Linked DNA regions of Caenorhabditis elegans. The protein of the gene in region 1 purifies or fractionates together with the protein of each later gene. This does not show direct contact. Each region holds a gene or a part of one and is shown on either strand. Other genes may lie near its edges.

The links.
Region 2: the proteins of vab-2 (region 1) and wrk-1 purify together in Caenorhabditis elegans (affinity purification with western blotting, with the first as the bait; one study listed by BioGRID). This does not show direct contact.

The regions. Positions count from the first base shown.
Region 1 is NC_003282.8:3,760,061-3,768,565, forward strand, and holds vab-2 (Ephrin RBD domain-containing protein), read right to left. Parts: upstream 6,767-8,505; 5' UTR 6,761-6,766; coding exon 6,654-6,760; intron 2,708-6,653; coding exon 2,442-2,707; intron 1,909-2,441; coding exon 1,522-1,908; intron 1,452-1,521; coding exon 1,372-1,451; 3' UTR 1,135-1,371; downstream 1-1,134.
Region 2 is NC_003284.9:8,384,932-8,397,420, reverse strand, and holds wrk-1 (Ig-like domain-containing protein), read left to right. Parts: upstream 1-4,838; 5' UTR 4,839-4,839; coding exon 4,840-4,923; intron 4,924-4,968; coding exon 4,969-5,115; intron 5,116-5,197; coding exon 5,198-5,303; intron 5,304-6,063; coding exon 6,064-6,215; intron 6,216-6,314; coding exon of another isoform or gene 6,315-6,320; coding exon 6,321-6,471; intron 6,472-6,798; coding exon 6,799-6,822; intron 6,823-7,044; exon of another isoform or gene 7,045-7,306; intron 7,307-7,678; coding exon 7,679-7,809; intron 7,810-7,862; coding exon 7,863-8,028; intron 8,029-8,116; exon of another isoform or gene 8,117-8,266; intron 8,267-8,485; coding exon 8,486-8,803; intron 8,804-9,377; coding exon 9,378-9,457; 3' UTR 9,458-9,975; downstream 9,976-12,489.

The DNA.
Region 1 (8,505 bases):
TAGATCAAACGGGCCACCGCCATCATCCCCCAAAATGTCTTCATTTCACATTCGCGCGCGCGCATTGAACCCTCTTATTAAGGGGGTTATGATATGATCCCCTCCATCTCATGGATGCGCACAAGGAAGGTCAATTAAGTGACGAGCCGCATGTCAAAAAGTGTTGAATTAGTTATCAGCGATTTTTTTTTGAAAATTTGAACATGCAGATACAAAATATTCAAAAATGATGTCCCCTCAAAATTTGACATACTCAAAATGGTATTCAAATCGATTCTGAACCTCATTTCAATGCGATCTGCAAGATCATTTTCGTGTCAAAAATTTGGAAGAATTGACACATGTTATGGTGTATGCCGGCGCCGAATTAGTGTGTCAAAATCGAAAATTCCATATTCAAATCAATCATTGGTGGGTGAAGGTCGTCCTTCCTCAAAAATGCAATGAATTGTTTCAAATAACAGGATTTAGGCTTGAATTTACAAATAGGCTAAAGATTAGGCTGAGGTTTAGGCTTAGGCTTATGCTTCAATTTTCATTTAGACCCCCAAGCCTCCCCCGTGCCCTTCTAAATGCCCTAGAAGATGCGCGCGCGCGGACGGGATGCCGCGAAACGATCCACTTCTGTGATTTATTGTGGTAAAGTGTTTACACAACAACGACGAAAGTGTACATTGAGTTGATTTATATTTCGTTTCATTCAAATTACGGGAAGATGAAGTACGAATGAATTGGTGGAAGAAGAGCGATGAACTTTTGTGAAGTTCCGGTAAATTTAGGTTAAAAAGTACCGCTCGGGAAGTTTTCAGTAACCTTGAAGGGTATCGAAGCCAGGAATATAAAATCTAAAGGTGCTAAACCTTACAGGATGCTATTCATTAAAAGTTATAACTTTTTTCACAATACTTAGTATCCCACAATATCCTTATAGTACCCTTACAGTTTCATTACGGAACCTCTAAAGTACCCCTACAATACCCTTACGGTACTATACCATACCTTTTCAATACTTGGTACCTTTAATTAACTTACGGTACACTTATATATATATATATATATATTGTCCCTACCGATACAGTATCTGCCACGTACCGGCAGAGCTACTGTAGGGCAACTTCTGAAAAAAAAATTGGAAAAAGTTTAACCATTTATTTGATTGAAAAAATCACAGAAAACTAATATTCAGCTCATGTTCTAGATACCGGTATCAAGAGAAAATTATCAAAAACTTGGAGGGGAGCAATATACAAAATTGAGCACAATTTGGGAATAAAATGGGAACCCGTCAACGGTGGGAAAATGTGTGATGATGGGAATGATGGCACCCGGGATTTCAGGAGGTTGAAGGTAAGGAAGAACTTCTGTGGTAGACTAGAAGATCCGGAGCAGCAGGAGAGCCGGCAGTAGGAGCACATATCGGAGCCGTCCAGATGATGAGTACAGAGATTCTACTGAAAATTTGAATTTTTAAAATTTGGTAGTTGAAAAAATTTAAAAAAAAACGAAAAAAAAACGACCCACCATCTCCAATCTCATGAATCTCAAAATCGACAACTTCCGCTGGAACCTGCTCGTATTCATCCTTCTTATTCCCCTGATACAACGTAACCCGCTCGCCACGTGTAATCTCCGGCCATGTGTTATCAATAGGCATCACTTTCTCGTAAAACTGCTCCCACAGCTTTTCCGCCGAGCTGTCCATCTCGACGACCGGCGGAATGGTCTTCGGGGTGCTTGTGGAAGTACTCGTTGTGGTGGTAGTAGTGGTCTTCTTGTGATGGTGGCGGTGATGGTGTGGTCCGATGTCTCCATTACGGTCAGTTATGTGGATTACCATTTTCAGATTGTGGGACGCACAAAGACCGCCTTGCTCGTTGTAGAGACCCTTTCGGGAGCCGGTTGAGGTAGCTGGAAAACTTTTTTTATTTGTTTGAGCTGATGTATTTCGGCAGGCAAGAGAGATATTAAAAAGTTGTCAACTAACAAAATATAGAAAGTTTAATGCTGAATATTTTCTTAGTTGTCAACTTTTGTATATCTCTATTTTTAAAGAGATAGGGAAGTTTTTAGAAATCCTTGTTTTTTTCTTGTTAAAAATTCGTTGCCCCCTCGGCAAAAACTACAGTGACTCACTCAGCACAAAAGTAAATTATCAAAAATAGGAAATTTCATGCTCAATATTTTGTAAGTTGGCAATTTTTTGATAAATCAATTTTTTGAAAAGCTATAGGAGTTTTAAGGTAGCCTAGATTTTTTTCCTGAAAATTCTTGCTCTTCCTTGGTATAGCTTTTAAAACTACAATTTTTATTGGAAATCAAAGTTTCAATTCAAAAAATGTTTAAGATGTGTTTAAATTTCTCAAAATTAATATTTTGTTCCAAAAACTTAAAAAAAATTTTTTTTTGCGAAATGTTCAAAATTAAAAATTCCATAAACTCACAAATAAAATAATAAGTGACTCCAGGCCGATAATCCAGTCCCGACGGATTCGGGCTCATAAGCCTAAACGCCACTTTAAGCTTCTCCTCCTGATACGGCTGTGTACATCTTCCCAGTTCCTTTGCCTTCGACCTCCGTTCACAGTTCTCATATTCCTCTTCAGTCACTCTATAGATAATCGATTGCTCAGTGAGCTCATCAGAGTTTTCATCGAAAAACGGGCAAACTATGTCAAGGGTGTCTCCAATTGCAGCATATCGTTCCACTCTGCAAAATTTATTTTTTCGATTTTTTACCCTTGTTTTTTGAAAATCCGAACACTTCCGCCACCCGGAGAAAAAAGAGAAAAAACCCGAACATGCCATTACAAAAACGCGTAACCCTCTCACGGAACATAAAACTTTGGCCACCACTCGGACGCCAGACCAGAAAATGCAAAAGTTTTGTCGCCGCCGACAAATTACCCATTAGATGTCGGGATGAACAAAGCCTTTGAGGTATTTTTTTGAAAAAATAAACTAAATGCGGTAAACATTTCAAGGCTAAATTTGGGCTAAGCCATAGGCTTAGGTTTAGGTTTAGAAGTAGGGGTAGGCTTAGGCTTAGTCTTAGGCTTAGGAGCAGGCTCAGGTTTAGGCGTAGACTTAGACTTAGCCATAATATAGGCCTTAAGCGAAACAAAAGCTCAAACTGAGACCGATTGTAGGGCTCACTTAGAAATAGGGTCAGGCTTCATTTAAGAACAAGGCTCGAAATAAGGCTATGATTTACGGCAAAATTTTTTTTTGGCTTCGGATAAGGTCGGTCTTGGCTGGCATGCCTAGGCTCCTCCAATTTCAAAAATCTTCCGCCTCATTTGCCGTCCACATGACCGTTACGTAACTGCCAACAGTCTGCCACTAAGACCTCCCCCTCCCAATATTTGGATGTCCAAAACAGAAACAGTTAGCTGTCCAATTTGGTAATAGAGCTTCCTAATTGTTGTGTGCTCTTTCCCCACCCATCACGAAATTGTGATGAGCATGTGGGTGATGAAGAACAAGGGCTTCCTTCCTGAACAGCAGTTAGCTCCCGAATGAGTAAGGGGGGTCTCTAGAGATTAGCCCCCCCCCCCCCCACTCCTGCCTCTCGATTGATCGGCATTCATCAAAGACACCTGTGTCGGGCGGCAAGGGGCATGTTAATTATGTGCCCGTTTTGTAGATATTGGGGAAAAAGGAATGGACCGTTTTATTGGGTGCAATATGCTGAGAGAAAGACAATTTACATATTCGTTCCCCAGAATAGGGCACACATTTTATTGGGAATAGTTTGATGGGGTACTCAGAATTTCCATTTTCAGGATATTAACACCATTTACTGCCTAATTTCCGTCCAGTGTCCTATTTTGCCCCACCTAATACTTCCGGTGTTCCCCCGAAAAATATTTGCATAATAAAGGCACACCTTATCTCTTCCAAGACCCTTACTAATTTCAAAACATCTCACTAGACACCTGCAGCTACATGAGGTCAGCAGCTGGTCTCGAGTTATGTAACTGACCCTCCGGGAGCCCTGGTGCTCCGTGAGGCTAAGCTCTTGAGCCAGAAAGAAATTTGTGATGGAGAAACAGTATCGGTTTCGATGACCTGCGACATTAGACAAATAAGGAAAGCTCTCTCTCGTGTTTTGGGTATCCTACTAGCGAAAACATCTAGCTTCATCTCAAGTGCCCCACTCCGTAAATAGTTACTATTGCCCCCTCCAAATGTTTGGACACATAAGGAGTACCCAATTATTGGAACCACTTTGCACACTTGAGCATTTGCTGTCGGAGCTAATTTGACTAATCAACTGCCAATTGCGCGGTGGAATTTGTTACCGCAAATGTGGGTAGACTTAGCACCTTGTGCGGGGGATTAGCTCTCCTTTTGTTTGCCGATTGCAGAATAAAAATGTTGTGTCATAATTTGGATAGTGTTGGTTTACAGAAAGGTGTTGTGTCATTGGTTATTGTGGTATTTGGTAGGGGGTTGAGAGCTACTGTGGAGGTCAAAAGTTAACAAACATTTTGGCAAATGGTTGAAAACTACCTACAGAGAATCTTAAAATTCCCATAAATCACTAGAAATAAGTTTTATAAGTCTGGCTAAATTTTTGCCCGTTGACTTATTTTTGATAGGTTTACTGACAAATGAAATAGGGCCGTTCAAAAGTTTATACCACTACCATGGAGCTTAAAACTTATGTAACTGCCCTAGAAAATGAAATATCAAACTGTATGAAATTTGCCACATTTCGTTGGTCGAAAACTTTTTGACAGCTTCACTAGAAAAGGAGATATGAACGTATTTATAATTTTTATAAATACATTACATATTGTGTACCCAACTAGGTCATTTAAAACTCCTGCTCACCTAAAAACTGAAATTTTAAATAATTGTTTACTAACAAAAAAAAACTACGCCAAATTTGCTTTCTCCCAGTTAACATTTTTTTTGTTGATACCCTCATTAAAATACTTTTTTTTGGAAACTACTGAAAATTTCCTTGAAACTGGAAAATAGTCAACTAACAATGTACAAAACCAATAGTGTTCTATATTTAGTAATCCGTACCCCCTGTAATTGCCCATGTGCAAAGACCTGCTAAGTTTCACCCACACACCGCCATATCTTGATGCCATAAAAATGTACACGGGTTGTGGCGGCGGCGGTTCTTGTTTTGTATATTACCTGGAGCCATAAAATCTGGTCTCTCTCTCTCTCTTTGGATCATATCCGATTGTAAAATTCTAGTATTAACAACATCTATATTGAGACAATTATCGGCATGTTCTCAAGGTCTTTTTTTCCAATTCTACGATGCACCATGTCCCAGTACCCGTCTCTGTGGTCCCCGGAAATTTAAAGTCGTTTGAAAATGAATATGTAAACGTTCGAATTTCAAAACTTTGTCCATGTATATATATTCCATTTCCAAAAGTCCGAGGTCTCTAATTTCACTTGTGTCCACTCCCCCACTCCCCCATTATTTCATTCAAACTAATTGCTCCATTTTGATGCTCCGCACTTCTTTCCAACCTGTTCCTCAAAGGCATAAATTTCACCGGGAAGAGAAAGATATCAGAGAGGTACAACAGGAGATAAGACTCATAAATCAGGCAGCGTGTACTACTACAAGACTATGTCCCCCCCACTTATTACACTAAGGAGGTCCACAACATGTCATCATATCATCATGATGTGGAGCCCCCCAAGAGAGCCCCGCCAAGCTTCAAGATTTCATTTTGATACATTCACTTCCCATATGGCCCTAGAAGATGCCTATCAGATTGACAGTATTGGTTGTTCAAGAACATCTGCCCCCGCGGGACAGGGATAGAATATATTAGGGATTTGAGACTAAGAGGGGTGTGGAGGAGGTCGACGTGTGTGACAAACATGTGGAATCTATCAAGCCAGGATATTTATGAAGAAAAACAACGAGGGAGAGCTCATAAAAAAAACAAAAAGTGATGCTTGGAGGAGCACACCTGCAATCTGTTTCAGAAACACTGTTTTTTAGGAACTAGGTTATGGTGCATCGAAGAATGAAAACTAGAGCTGGAGGTACATGGTGCATCGAAACATATAGGGTATAGGGTTCTAGCGCCCCAAGCTTATTGGGGTCAAGGTGCATCGAGTAATGGGGACCTGGTTTTCCATAGCTATGGGGCCATGATGATCCAAGCTTATGAAGTTATGGTGCATCGGGCTTTGGAAAACTTGAGCTCTGAGATCCTAGTGAATTGAGCCTTAAGTTTTAAGATTTTGTGGCCCAAGCTTATAAAATTATGGTGCATCAAGACGTTATGTTCAGGATCCTGGTACATGGAGCTATGGTCTTTAAGGTCATGGTGCATCGAGGTAAGGTAATAGCTCACAAATCTACGGTTCCTATTAAAAATGAGAGCCCCCGATTTCTTAATCCTAAAAAGAGTATGCCCATCTGTTCCCAGATTAATTTTTGATACTCTATAACCTCCTCCCCGCCGCTCAATATTTGCTCAGTATGCACCCAGATAATTAGTAACATCGTTTGGTTTCGGCTTACTATGCCATGTACGGCTTCTTCTTTGGGACCCTGAGGGACTCCCGGCGGGGGCTTGTAGGTAAATATTGTAAACATAAATGTGTGGAGTGATTGGCGGAAGGCTTTTGATCTACTGGGAGGAAAGATAAAGTCAACTTACAGGGGATTTGTAGAGTTCCAGTAGATTTGCGGTAACCGTTTGGCGGAACAATGGACGGTGGTGAGGATGAACAGTAAAATTGTTTGAATTTTGATGGGTGGGTGCATTTTGTGCTGGAAATTTGAAATTGAGAGATTTGCTCTAATTGACGAACATAATAATAATAATTTATTACGTTCTTGAAAAAGCGTGAAAAATAAGAAAGATGATACATATTATGAATAGGAATTGGCAAAAATGGGAACAAATTAATTCAAACAGTGATATTTCCTGGAGTGTTCAAAATATCAAAAAGTTTCCAACTAACAAAAGTATCTACATAAAATTTACTACAATTTATTAAATGATAATATTTTGATACCTCTTACACCCGCAGAGTTGAGATACAAAAATAGGTAGACGCAGACAAACTTCACCTGTCTACTCTGTTTTAAATTCCCATAGTTCATTGGAAGGCAGAGGTATCAAAATGTTTTGTTGCAACAAAATATAGAAAATTTTATAGTAATTATTTTGTTAGTTGACAAATTTTTAATATTTCCAAAAATCGCGGAGATATGAATGTTTGAAGTTAAAAGGGTGAAAAAAAAAGAAAATTGAGGGTTTTTGAAATAAGTTTTTTTGTTTTTTAACGTATTGTTTTAACATGTATACTTGAAAACCAGATATTTAAACAAACATTTTGACAAACGCACCAAATTTAAAAATGAAAAAATTTTATACTTTTTTTTTTGAAATTTTGGAATTTTTTTTTCAAAAATCGAAATGTATTTAAAATTTGAAATTGTTAAAAATACTGTCAGAAATTATATTTCGAATTCAAGTGGTACAAAATGCCGCAAAAAAGAGGTCAAAAGAGGTCATTTAGGCCCCTTGAGAGAGGTTGAAGTGGGAGAGGCGAATTTTTTCAAAAACAAATATACAACAAAATTATAATTTAGCAGGAAGTTTAAGTAGATAGTAAAATGAAAAAGAATTAAATTTCAAGTGAAAAAAAATTAATTGAAAATTTTGGAAAAAAAAATTGAAAAAAAGGAAAAAAATTCAATAGGAAGAGGCGGGGACCAAATTTAAACAAAAAAAAACCATTTTCAAATTCAAAATTCTAAAAATAAAATAATTTATCCTCAAATCCTACCGCAACATTGCAAATCTTGTCTCTCTCTCTCTCTTTTGACATACACACGGAACAAGTGGCCTCTCTCCCCATCCCAACAGCCCGGTGCCCCACAGACTCCTCCCCCCGGTGATCCGCCTCTGGGGGTGTCTACCCCGGAGGCTGTCAGGAGAGTGGGGGATTTGCAAATTAATAAGGTACTGTTTTCTAGAGAGGTTCAAGAGAGCTCAATTGGCTCCGAGAGGGGTATTGGAATAAATTATTTTGGAATTTTTGGAAGCCCTGGGTCAAATGGGTAATTTGTAAATTGCCTTTTTTCAAAAAAAATTTTTTTTTAATGAATTACTTGACAATTATAATATTGTTTGTTGTGTAGTTTGTAGATTGTAGGGTAAAACATAGAACTTAAAAGATGTAGTTGGTTTTTGGTATAGAAAAAATAAAAAAAATTAAAATCAAAACTCTGAAAAAATTTGAAAATTTTATTTCATTCTGAAAGGTGTTCCAACTGTAATTGTAAATTGTAGTTTATAGTTTGTAGTTTGTAGTTTGTGGTTTGTAGTTCGAAATCAGTATTTTTGAAAAGAGTTTTTTTTTTCGAATTATAGAAACTTTTAGTAGGTATCCTGGAAATGTTAACTTTAAAGTTCTTTCCAGGCTGTGGTTTTGTAGTTTGTAGTTTGTAGTTTGCAAAAATAAAATACCTCCAAACTTCATCAAAAATACCAAGAGGTT
Region 2 (12,489 bases), on another chromosome or scaffold:
TTTAAACGAACGCTCTCTGGTTTGGATTTCAAATTTATTTCAAGAAATTGAAGAAGATTTTCGAAAATTGAAGTTGAATGAGGGATCGGCGGAAAGGACAGGAATATACACACATTCATCCATATACTTACACAATTGCCCTGTTGTCGGCAGTAATCCCCGCGGTTTGTTCGGCCCCCGTCTCAATACTCACCACCCTTTATTTTCCAACCCGTTAGACTTTTCCTAATCCACGCCTCAATCCCACTGTATTGCATAAACACCGCCATCCGCGATTCTACTGCTTACAAGTCGAATACAATGAGCTGTGAAATCTTTTTTCCCAATCTTTTGTATTATTCAGTTTAGGCAAGTTCGATGAATTTCTCATCAAATCATTTATTTTGGAAATTGCACAGAATGGTTTGCAGGCAAAATTAAACGGAAAACTGTGTTTTTTTTTTCGGCCATTCTATTTTTTTTTCTCAAATATTGTTTTAAAATATTGAGATTTGTTGAGTTTGCCAAATTTTTCGTGTTCGACAAGTGTTCAAAAACCCCACTAGCTGAATTTGTTAAGATTGGAAGACTTTTAATTGCATACCCCTAGTTTAAAAATCCGTTTCTTGCTCATTTTTGTTAATAATGTTTTCCGTTTTATATAAAACTAGAATTCTCACTCATTTAGAGAATTTGATTCCTATGATTGAAAATAAAATAAAGAAAAAATTACATGTCTCGCGAAGTGCAAGTTTAGTACAAGTGTATACAATTTTTCAAATCCTTGAAAGGTTTTGAAACTGAGTGTAGAAAATTTAAGTTTTCGATAAATTTAGTTTTTCCACATAGTATGATGTTTTTTGGATTAAGTGAAATCACCGATTTACCACTTTAAAAAGTGTCAGACGATCATAAAAGTTTATGATATAATTGAAACATACTACTGTGTTTGAGAAATTTTATGGTACTTTTATTCCCCGCATTCAATTTTTTTTTGAGTTATACAAAATTGAAAATTGTAGAAAGTTTGTATATTGTAATTTTTAACTTTTGGGTTTTTAATGCGAAAAATCATATACCAATTTCTGTACGCGATCACGATTTTTGTAGTTTTATTCCATTGAGTTGAAGCTCATTGTACCATTTGCTGAATACTGAGGTCACTTACTTTTCATCATGATAACTCATTCTTATGCACACATACACACATATTTTCATTTTCCGTCTTCTGATGGTGTTCCGTTTGGCTTTGACGTGTTTAAACTTTAGAGTGACTCATCGTGCATTCCTGCTTCCTTGCTCCATTTGACAGTTTTACAGAGACGCCCACACTGTGAAAGTGGCAAAATTTGTACTGAATTCCGGAAGTGTGAGGATAGGCATTAGACTATAAATGTTTTGCTGCGCCTGTATAAAAAAATCGGCCTGAAAATCGTATGATTCAATGTCTTTTTGCTTGAAACCAAAACTTCTACTTTTATTTTCTGACAATCAAACTCTTCATTTCACATTTTCTTTCCTCGTCTCCTCATTTCTTAAACTTTGAGCAGCTCTTTTTCTTCTAGTCAACTAGCACTAGTGAGCACCGCCCGTTTTTCTGCCCTCTGGTCATTTTTGTGTATCCACTTGCAGCTTCTCCTTTTTGAGAGAAAAGGGAAAAAGATAAGTATGTGCCATGCAACAAAATCTTATTTCATTTTTTTTTCTCCCCTCTCTCCATTCGCGTCCCAACATTTACTTCGCAATTTTCAAGGTTCTCCTACGTAAACCCACCGAACACGCGCGTTATTTTCAAAATAGCCTTTTTCTATTCCCATATTTGCATATTCAAAGTATTCAGTGTATGAACATCGTGGATTTCTTCCTCCTCTCTCGCTCCTTATTCTTGACCGAAACAGTTCCTCCCTCCCGTTTCACTATTGAGAACTCGGCCATTGAAAGTGGTAGAACCCATTAAACACTAATAATAAGTTTCTCGCGCGCACTTCTCCATCCCGATCCACCGTCTTGTGACGGTAAAGTAACATAATGTTGCAAATGTATACAAGAATCCATCCACCTCCCCCCAAAACAGTTACACGGTGTCGTTGTTCAAGAGGTCACTCACTTTTATTTGTTCACGTTGGTTGTAAAAACTTGTCAAGGATTGAGATTAGGTTTAATTTCAATAGTTTTCCTAAAATTCAGTTGTTTTACCCATACTTCGCTCATTTTTCTTTGTGTACTTATATTTAATCTGAAGATGACATTATGTATTGTACCACCGATTCGATTCAACATTTGATAGGAGATTAAAAACTCTTTTAATTTGAATTTACCGCTTTCTTTGCAAAAAACAAGTCTTTTAAATATATTTTTTGGAGACTTTTTAGAATTTTCGGTACTTGTGTTTTATGACCCCACATTTTAAAGTTAAATTTGTAATTGTTATATTTGTTCATTTATTTAAAACGTGAATAATGTTCTCACTATTAGGTTTAGGGAAACAAATTCTTCTACAATTATTTTCGTGGAAAATCCAAATTCAGTCACTTTCAAACTCATTAGTTAATGATAAAAATCCCTGTGTTAACGGGTTTTCCCGTTTTTTAAACAGACTAAATTCTTATTAAATTCATAAGATTCACCACCTGCACTTTTTAGTACTTTCATCATTGAGGATACTCCGTCCAAACAAAAACCCCACAAGTGACTCTTCCATCTTTAAAATCACATCCCAAGATTTAAAAGTTTTGATTCACCATCTTCAATCTCCATTCTTCTACAATTGCCTATAATACATTTCTAGTGAACCTCGAGGCAGCTGGCACATTTTGACATTAGAAGGACATTGAACCCAAAGGACATATATTGCGTGTTTCAAGACAAGAATTGATATCTCACACACCTGCCATTCTCTTTTTTTCGGTGGTTTTCATTTCGTCTTTTTCGCCGTTTTTAATGTCTTCCCATTCTCGAACCCATCACAACAGGTGCTCCCCATTTGGCGCCTTCTTTATGAAAGTGCAATTTATAAGAGAATCATAAAATAAGACGAACGAAGATGCGATGTTCTCTCATCGATCACTTTCACGCCTATCTGTTCTTATCCAGTTTTGAGTAATGAGGGGAAATAAAGAAACAGTGGCGTAGATAAATTTTTATTATATTAGAACATTATAAATTTAGGTTTCCTCTTTTTTCTGACCCATATTTTTTTGACGTTTCCGGTTTTCGAAATTGAAGGGGAGCTGTTTTTTTGAGTGTCTTATTTTTTATTCTTCTTGTTTTTTAATTTTAATTCCCATTTGGTTTCCGCTGGTTAAATTTTAAAATCAAGAATTATACACCCTTTGCCCTTTTCTTGCACTTTGTCTTATTTGCAATTGACTCTTAAGGCTTGTTTTTGTCATTTCTGAGAGAAAAAAAGTCAGTCTAATCTAAGTACTAGGAAAAGCAAGCCCTCGTTTTGTTTTCTTCTTCATCTTTCTCCCATATTCCATAGGTATTATGCAACTTTTCTCCTTTTTTGTTGCTTCTTCTCAAAATGAGATGCTCCAATGCTTTATTTCTCAGTTAGTGGGTGTACTGATTGAGTCGTCCAGCGCGACCTTAGCCCCCCCCCCCCCCCCACTACCAGTACAATTAGTCAAGAGACCACCCCAAACAGGCCCCGCCTTTTTCGTGCAGCACCCTTCATATGGGCATCCAATCTCTGAGGCTCATCAATTTAAAAGGCGTTTATTGGAATGAGCGAAGCCACGCTTTCGCTTCACACTTTCGATATTTGCTAGTACTAAATGCTCTATGATGTGATGTTCACATGATTTTATTATATATCTCGCGATTGCAGTGTGATATGCTATCTTGAAAAAGTGAACGTGGATTTTTATTTCTCTGCCACATCCCAGTTCATCTTGCTCTCACAAGTTCGATAAAAATATAAGTCGAAAAAGTTCCCCAATCGGCACCCACGCAGATTTTTCCATTGCTCCAGTTGGCACTGTTTTCAATGTTTTTTTTGCTCCGTATAATGGGCGGAGTTTCTAGCACATGCGATAATGTGTTAATACTCTCACCACAACCACATTCTTATCATCAATCCCCTCTGAACCCGGTCGTATGGACAAATAGTGTTCAGGACCACAGAATGTTGATAAACTGATATAAACACAACTCTAGAAACTCGACACTTTCGTGCTAGCTTTTTTGCAGAAATAATTTAGTTTCTGGTAAATCAAACCAAACCGTAGTATTACTAAACCATTAGCTAAACAAATTTTGTTTTGCAAGTGTCAGCTTTCAATTATTATTAATTCACTCCCACGCTAACTTGTCCCGCCCATTTACGAAATCAGTGCTCTGAAATGAGAATGAATACTGCTCCAGACCTCCAGAGGAATCATCAAGGGAATCGTAAATGTCCCTAATTCATATCGCCACTTTCGTCTCACTATGCATAACCAAACCCCTTCTTCTTCTTTCCTTTCTGCTTCTGTTGTTGTCCTTTTATGACAGAATGGCCTGAAGGAGGAGGATGAGCAAATCACGACCGAATTTTACAACTGACTAGGCGGCTGCCCCTCATTTCTCCTTCTGATAGTTTTGGTCAATAGGACTGGCCCCCACTGAGTCTGAGTCACTGTAGTACTCTAGATGCCAGAGACAAGAGAGCACGCTGTACAGAACTGTGTTGATAAGAGGGGGAGAGTGGCTGTAAAACAGAGGGGAATAGGGAGTAAGACAGTTGTAATTGTTAATAATTAAAAATTGGCAACATCGGGTTTCTAGCTTGTTTATTTTCTTTTCTCGATATCTCTTCTATTTTTTTTTCTCTCTGAATGTGAACTTCTTTTTTTTTCAACATTTTCTTTTTTCAGCATGATGAAATTGGTTCTGCTGATTCTTGGACTTTTGATAGCATCGACAAGTGCTCAAATTAGGACAAAAGGTGGAACATTAATTGTAAGCTGTTATTTTTTTTATGCTCAAGTAATTGAAAAATTGAAGGCAAAAGAAGGAGAATCTCTCACCTTGAGATGCGAAGTTGAGGACCCATCGGTTGCAATTATTTGGAGGAAGAACACAGAAGTCGTCGCTGTTGACGATGAGATTCTCGACACCTACGGAGGATACGAAATCTCGATGGAAGGCTCGGTAACTAGATTTAATTTACACTTGATTAGGATCAAGGGCTTAACTAAGTTTAGTCTTTCTTCTTTATTCGAAATTTCTTCAGACATCTGTGCTCACCATCAAGAGAGTCGAGCCAATCAACTCGGCTAACTACTCGTGCGCATTGGCAGAGCCGGAAGTCAGTGTCACTTTTGTCATCAAAGTGCAAGGTGTGTTTGAAAGTTTTGGGAGTTTGGATTGAAAGTGAGGAAGTATAGATACTCACTGAGCGGAAATGATGAAAATCCTAGGTATTGTAAACATTCTAAAACACTGAGTTGTGGAGAGAACCTTGTGAAAAAATGTGTAAACGTTACAGAAAACTTTTTCAAACTTGAATTTACAGTTTTTCTCTTTACAAAAAATACAAACACAACAATTTGAACAAATAACAATCAAACCAACAATACCCATAACTTTTCTAAAGAATGTGCACTCAAAATGGCTTATCTGAAACGCCCATCTCTGTTAACCCCCCGTCTCCCCGCCACGCTTATTATTAGGCATTTGTCATTACATAATGCTTTTCCACTGGTCCCATCACTGCCATGGACATCTGCGCAATGAAATTAAAAGTAGAACATGGCCAAAAGGGGTTAATCGTGTAAAGTTATTATAGAAATTAAAAGGTGATTGTTTCAGAAAAAAACTTCGTTTGAGATAGCGCATTTTTTCTTGAAAAATACGAGTTGCGCTACCTAAATTATGTAATATTTATTTTAAGTCCATTTCAGAGCTTGAAGTAAGAATTACGTGTACATAGAGATTTTCCATATAGACTAATATTTTTTGTAGGAACCGTTTGTTTCTTCTTATTTTTACCTGAGTCAATAAAAATTTGTCTAATGTTGCACATTGAAAATTGTTTTTGATGTAGGGAAATAATAGATATTTTCAATATATGTAGAGAATATTTTTATATGTTTTCAGTTTTCAAACCCACTCAAGTTTCAGTTAAACCACTTGTCGTCATCTCTCCAGACACTGGTGTCTATCATGCTCGGGTTGGAGAAAAGAATCTGGTGATCACATGCCACGTGAAGGAAGGAAACCCAAAACCAGGAGTGGTTTGGACCAAACAGGTTGGTTCATTATACCCCTAATCTCTTGACTCTTACTACTAATTGCTAGTTTTGCCAACATTGACTTCCTTTTCTCTGATCCTATAATTATGGTTGTAGTTTAAGGCTGCCAAATTGCCAGAGGATATTAAGCGCGAGCACGGAGGAGCCAGAATTGTTATCACCGAAGTGAAGAAGCACCATGCTGGGAAGTACAACTGTTTGGCAGAGAACATCGCAGGATCGGACAGAGCTACAATTGACATACATGTTGCTGGTAAGCATTTTCAATTTGTTTGTGAGATTGTGAACTTGAATTTGACTTTGAATTGAAATTTGAATATGCAGAGGTGTTTTTGAATGAAAAGTATGTTTTTCGATTGTAATGGAAAACAAGACTAGTTTTTTGAGACGTGAAAATTTGAAAAGTGGAAGAAAAGATTAATGATAGGAGGAAAGCTGCAATCATTTATCAGATTTTGTGGTGTAACCAATGATAAACAACATGTGTTGCACTAGTGCATTAGACTCTTCCTCTTGTTCCACAAATCTCTAATTTTTTTTTGACGTGACGTGTGCCATCAATCACTCATCTCTTTTTCAGAGCCGCTCCAAGGAGAACGCGAAGGTGAGTATGAAAATCGTCGTCGGATATTGCCAATGTGGTGTGATATGTTGTGTTTGTGATTGTGACCGTGCATCCATTAAACATCTAATCCAGAAGACGTTGAGACGTTGGTTTTGACAACATCTGCGTCGAGCTACCCCCTCAAATTGCTCTATAGAAGGTGTTGGCACAACAAAAGGGGTTGCGATGGTTTCTGAGACCAGCCAGCTGCAATTTATGAACCATTCACCCTTTTTCGACTGCCCATCATCCAACATTTTTGTTTATATAGATGATTTCAATAGGGATAGTGAGGGAAATTAATCCAGTAAATATATATATAGTCCTAATTGGAGGCAAGGGATTTAGAATTTAGGATGAATCGGCTCTGTGAGCTCATCATATCCTAGAACTCAACAGATGGTTGATCGAAAAGGTGACAGTTTGTAGGTCGGTGGGGTAAGAACGCTTGACAAAATGATGTGCATTTGCGATTATCCGATCCAACATGCCAAACCATATGGAGTGGCATGCTGGTGGGAAACCGAAACTGGATGTTGGGAGTAGGGAAGAAGGTTATTGATATGTATATTTTATGATTTGGCATTGCAATATTTTGGATACAAAGCTCTCTAAATTGGTCCCAGGATGACCTTTTTTCAGTTTATAGAATACTTTGAGATTTGTATTTCCAAAAATGGGAAGTTGGCGCTGTTCAAATTATGAGTTTATCGTTGAAATCATATACATATATTCCAATAATGTGACGATATGTTCATTATGTTTCTCTTAACCCTACAATATTTAATTTCAACTTTCAGTTTCACTCATTGTTCCAACAAATACTAAAAACCAAAAAAAAGGGAATTAATTTCAGAAAAGCCATGGGTGAAAAATGAGGACACGTTCATTCCGGTGCGCAAAAACCAAAACGCATCATTCTGGTGTACTTATGACGGAACTCCAGTGCCGCAAGTCGAGTGGCTCTTCAATGGTTACAAGATTAACGTATGTCACGCAACCACTTGGAATTCTGATGAATAATGCTTTATACATTGCAGTTCAATGACGAGAAGTTCAAGAAAACTTCGGAAACGGCTCAAAGGCTTAATGGATACAGCAAGTCTACGCTGACTGTTGGCGACATTTCCGAAGAAGCTTTCGGGGACTACGCGTGCCGAATTTCCAACAAACTCGGATCCGTCACCGCTGTGGTGCACGTTAGTGGTGCGTGATGACATTTGACTAATTGCCAATCATTTTCTCGTTCCGTTCCGTTCTGTTCCTCCGGATCTCCTTTTCTATGAACACACGTCAGGAATAATTCACCTGCGGGCGTGTGGGGGAAGAGGGTCCTTGTTATTTGCACCGGGCCCTTGTGGACTTCGTCACCTTTTGAATGAGCTTTCTCCCGACAAATTTACATAATGAATTAGTACCTTGGAGATGGAGAAGGATGGAATAGTAAACTGGTAGATGACTTACATGAAAAGGGACAGATAGCAAAATAAATTGGTCCAGAAAGCATAGATTTTCATTTTTCAGTTATTATAGAAGTAGTGGATTTGAAAAAATTAAGATAATCAAAGTATCGGACCGACTATTTGGTTAACTTTGACAAAAGTTCTTGAAACTGATTAAAAAAACATTTAACGCCAATTATTTACATAGTTAAAACTTTTAGGAAGACCAGGTCCACCACAACTTTCTTTTGACGAATCTGAGCTCACGTGGACTGTTCGCGCCTTTGACAAGATTCTCGAATACCAGCTTTGCCACCGATTAGAAAATGCGGATCACTTTCTGCCGGAGGACTGCAACAGTGTCAGAGTGAAGAAGAGCGATAATAATGGTGATGACAAATGGACACATACCATCGATCTTAGCACATTCTTGGAGCACGGAAACAAGTACCATGTTCAGTTGAAGGCCAGAAACGCTTTGGGTTGGGGAAGCATGGCAAAAGACGCATTGCATGTTGAATTGCAGAGAATTGAAAAGGGTAATTTTTTATTTGTTTTTAGAATACAAACTCTTCGAAAAAGTTGTATGATATTTTAGCATTGTGTACGTTACTTGATAGTTTGAGAGTTCACTAAGGTTTTGTGTTTTGTGAAGTTACTGAAGCACAGTAAAAACAATGTATTAAAAAATAGCACCCGTAGGAAAGTTGTTAAAAACTACTTTCACATTACTAAAACTATCATAAATAAAAAATATTTGAAATGTCTATTGCAATTAACAAATTGTTATCATTCACTTTTTATCATCCACAATTCAGGAAGTCAACCAAATTTGACTGAAAGTTTTGAAAAATCTTCAACTTGTTGTAAACTTTTCATGGTGTTTTGTTTTGTCGACTACTCAACATTTTTGAAAAAAAAATGCTAGAGAAACAAATCTGACATTAAAAATGGCAAGTCCGAGCGAAATCATATATAAAAATTTGAAAATGTTATTAAAACCCTATTGTTTACAAATAGAATAATGCTTCAAAATCTGTATTAAAGTTACAAGGTTCTAAAAAACAAGTAAAAACAAGATCAATTGAAATATTTAGTTGAAAAACATTTCAGAGGAGGCAAAAGGAGCATCAATCATTTCTATCATATCATCAATTCTGGTTACATTAGTCACAATGTATCTTTTATTTTAATATTTTATTACAAACAAAACAATTTAGTATGTATTTTCTACCTCTGTCGTCCTCCTTTTATGCAAAGATTTGCCATGTCTCACTTCTAGATCACAAATCGTTCAGATCAATTTCCAAATTCAGGGTGTTCAGTAGGATTTATGGTCTTTCTATTTCCATTTTTATTTTCAAAAATATGTTTTCTCTGCATTTTTCCTCACGTTTAGATTCATATTGAATGTGAGCCGGTGTTGCTCCCCCAAATTTCCCCATTTTCTTCCAATCCTTTCTTTCGTAGTTCTGTCACTTTTTTCCAAAACTGTTCACTTTTCTCTCCACGAAGAATACTTACTTTTGTGATGATGCTTTTAAAAAATTATGTAAAAAATTCAAAACCCTTTCCCCCTCATTCCCAATCCACTTAATTTACTCGGTGCCCTTTTTTCTGAATGTTGTCAGTTTTTCATCAAATTTTATCCAATATTTTCTGTTTCATTATTTAACTTTTATTACAAAATAAATAACTTTGATCAGTTCAAATTCAATGTACCAATTATTCAATTTTGCAGACACAAAATTTCACGGAAATTGAAGTCAATTTCGGTGTGAAGAAGTGCACTTTTCTTTTAATTTTCGTTTTCCTTGTCGAACATAAACCGGTTTCTATAAATTAAAAACTACTAAAGTCATTACCCAACAATTTTCAGATTTTTTCTTTCAAGTTTCAAGGCCTTGTTCTTTGAAAACTTTCGCCGGAACGAAAACACGCTGGCTTTCCAGGCCTCCCGCAGCTAGTATCATTGTGATGATAACAATGATAACAAAAAGAAAACTATGCGACACATTCATAAAGCTGTAATAATTTTCAACATGGTGCGATTGAAGAGAGTAGAAGACACATTCACTGTTTTACACTGACGACACGGTAATGTGGGTGTGTGTGCGAAGAAGGAAAAGCTATTATTGACGTGGTTGTAAATCTTTATATGAAGGTGAATCGCTCCCAGAGAAAGTGAGAATATTTCAACGAGAAAATGGTCAGTTGGAATTTCATTGGTTGTGTTCTTTCGCGTTCTTTACACAATAAAAATTAAATTTATATCTCAATTGGACAGATGCCAACATTTTAATCTTCTTGAACACGAAAGATCAAAAGGTCTTTTAAAGAAGCCACGAGACAGAAAGTAGTCATAAAAACGTTGTCTATTGCGTTGTAAAACGAACACGACCAGACAGTTCACATATTCGCACAATATTTGACATCTCTGGAGACAGCTCTTTCAATGACAACAAAATTTTGACCCAGGCAGGGCTCGAACCTGCAATCTTCTGATTAGAAGTCAGACGCCTTATCCATTAGGCCACAAGGCCACGGTCGGGCTGGTATATTGCGTAGTACACGAAAAATTGAGAAACAGAAACAAGGAAAAACAATAAGAACGAACTCCCGGTGACATTTATGTTTCTGGATGTATCTTATGACTTTCTTATATGTTATGACTTTTTGCTTTAAAGCTTTTTTTCGCATGAATAAATGGTTAAAGTTGGCTCTGTTGGATTCACTAACTTTTCTTCGCTGCACAGTGGGAATTTCTAGTTACTATCGTATTACTAAATGCTCTCTTCACCAAATGAACCGGATTTTATAAAAAATGAATAAATCAAACAAGAGACAAAAATTAGATATCCATTACAAAAAAAAAAAATTTGACCCAGGCAGGGCTCGAACCTGCAATCTTCTGATTAGAAGTCAGACGCCTTATCCATTAGGCCACAAGGCCACATTTTCTGACCACCAGTAGGAGGTATAAGTGTTACGTCTTTCTCTCTGCTCTCTGTCTCTTTAGTTGTGCGATGGTGGCGTGCAAACAAAAACCAGTGGACGAATGGGCTACCTACTCGAGAAGTGGACGAAATAGTAGATGTTTTTGTAAAAGAATTGTTTTTGTAAATAGTGTTCTTTTTTTTTCAAAAGTTTAGAATTTTGATTTCTCAATTGGTTTATTGGCGTTTCTATCGTTCCACTCGAATGTATAGATAATTGTTGGGTATAATTATTTTTGTGGTGGAGTGAACAGAGCTACTCAATAAAGGAAAAGTCATATAGATTTATTCAGCAAAAATGACTACTTTTAAACCTCTTCGACGAAATATGACGCAGAAATTTTCATTTTGCAAGTGACCTAAAAATGGTCATATGTTTTTGAAGAGTTGTTCAGGAAATAGTGATGATAAGTCTAACTGTCCTTCATATTGGAAGTCTAAAAAGAAAGAGACATGTTTTTGACTAAAATATACTATTTTTCTATCAATGAAAGAATCAGAAGTACAAAAAAAGCAACAAAAAAGAAGATCGTGGCAATGACTTCGAGATTGGGTTTTACCACATGGGCTTAGGATTACATATCATGCGTGCAGCAAATTTGCCGAATTTGCCGAGCTCGGTAAATTTCGAAATTCACCTCTGTTACATATGTGTTATGGAGAGAATTTACAGACAACGAGACACAGATTTCGAGAAAGAAAATGTTGTGTAGAGCGGGAGAATTATACAAAATGTTCAATGAGTTTATGATTTAGTATTGAAAAAGAAAGTTTAGATTTGAATTCTTTAAATCTCTGTAAGTTTTGAGGAACAACGCACGTTTTCCCGTCAAATGAATGGGAATGTTATGACAGTCCACTAAGACTTCCACGTGGGCTCGTACCACAAGTTGTTTTTCTCATTATTTACAACTTTTATCGAAATATTTGTTTCTTTATTATTTTAGAAAAGTTAACATATTTCAAGATGGTAAAAACCGTTCCCTGTCTGATTATAAGTTCAATGATAAAGTCCAATTCCATAGAGACTAAAAAGACATCGAATCCGCCATTGTTTCAATACGAACCGTACTTTCACTTACTCAACCATTACCGTTTTTTGTCTATTCTCGCAAAAACTGTGACCCCTTCTTTTCAAAATTTTTGTAACGCCTCTCCCACCTCTTCAAAAACCGTCAATGGGCGGTGTCTCACCGGACGATGCCATCGAAGGGGGGAGAAAGGTAGGA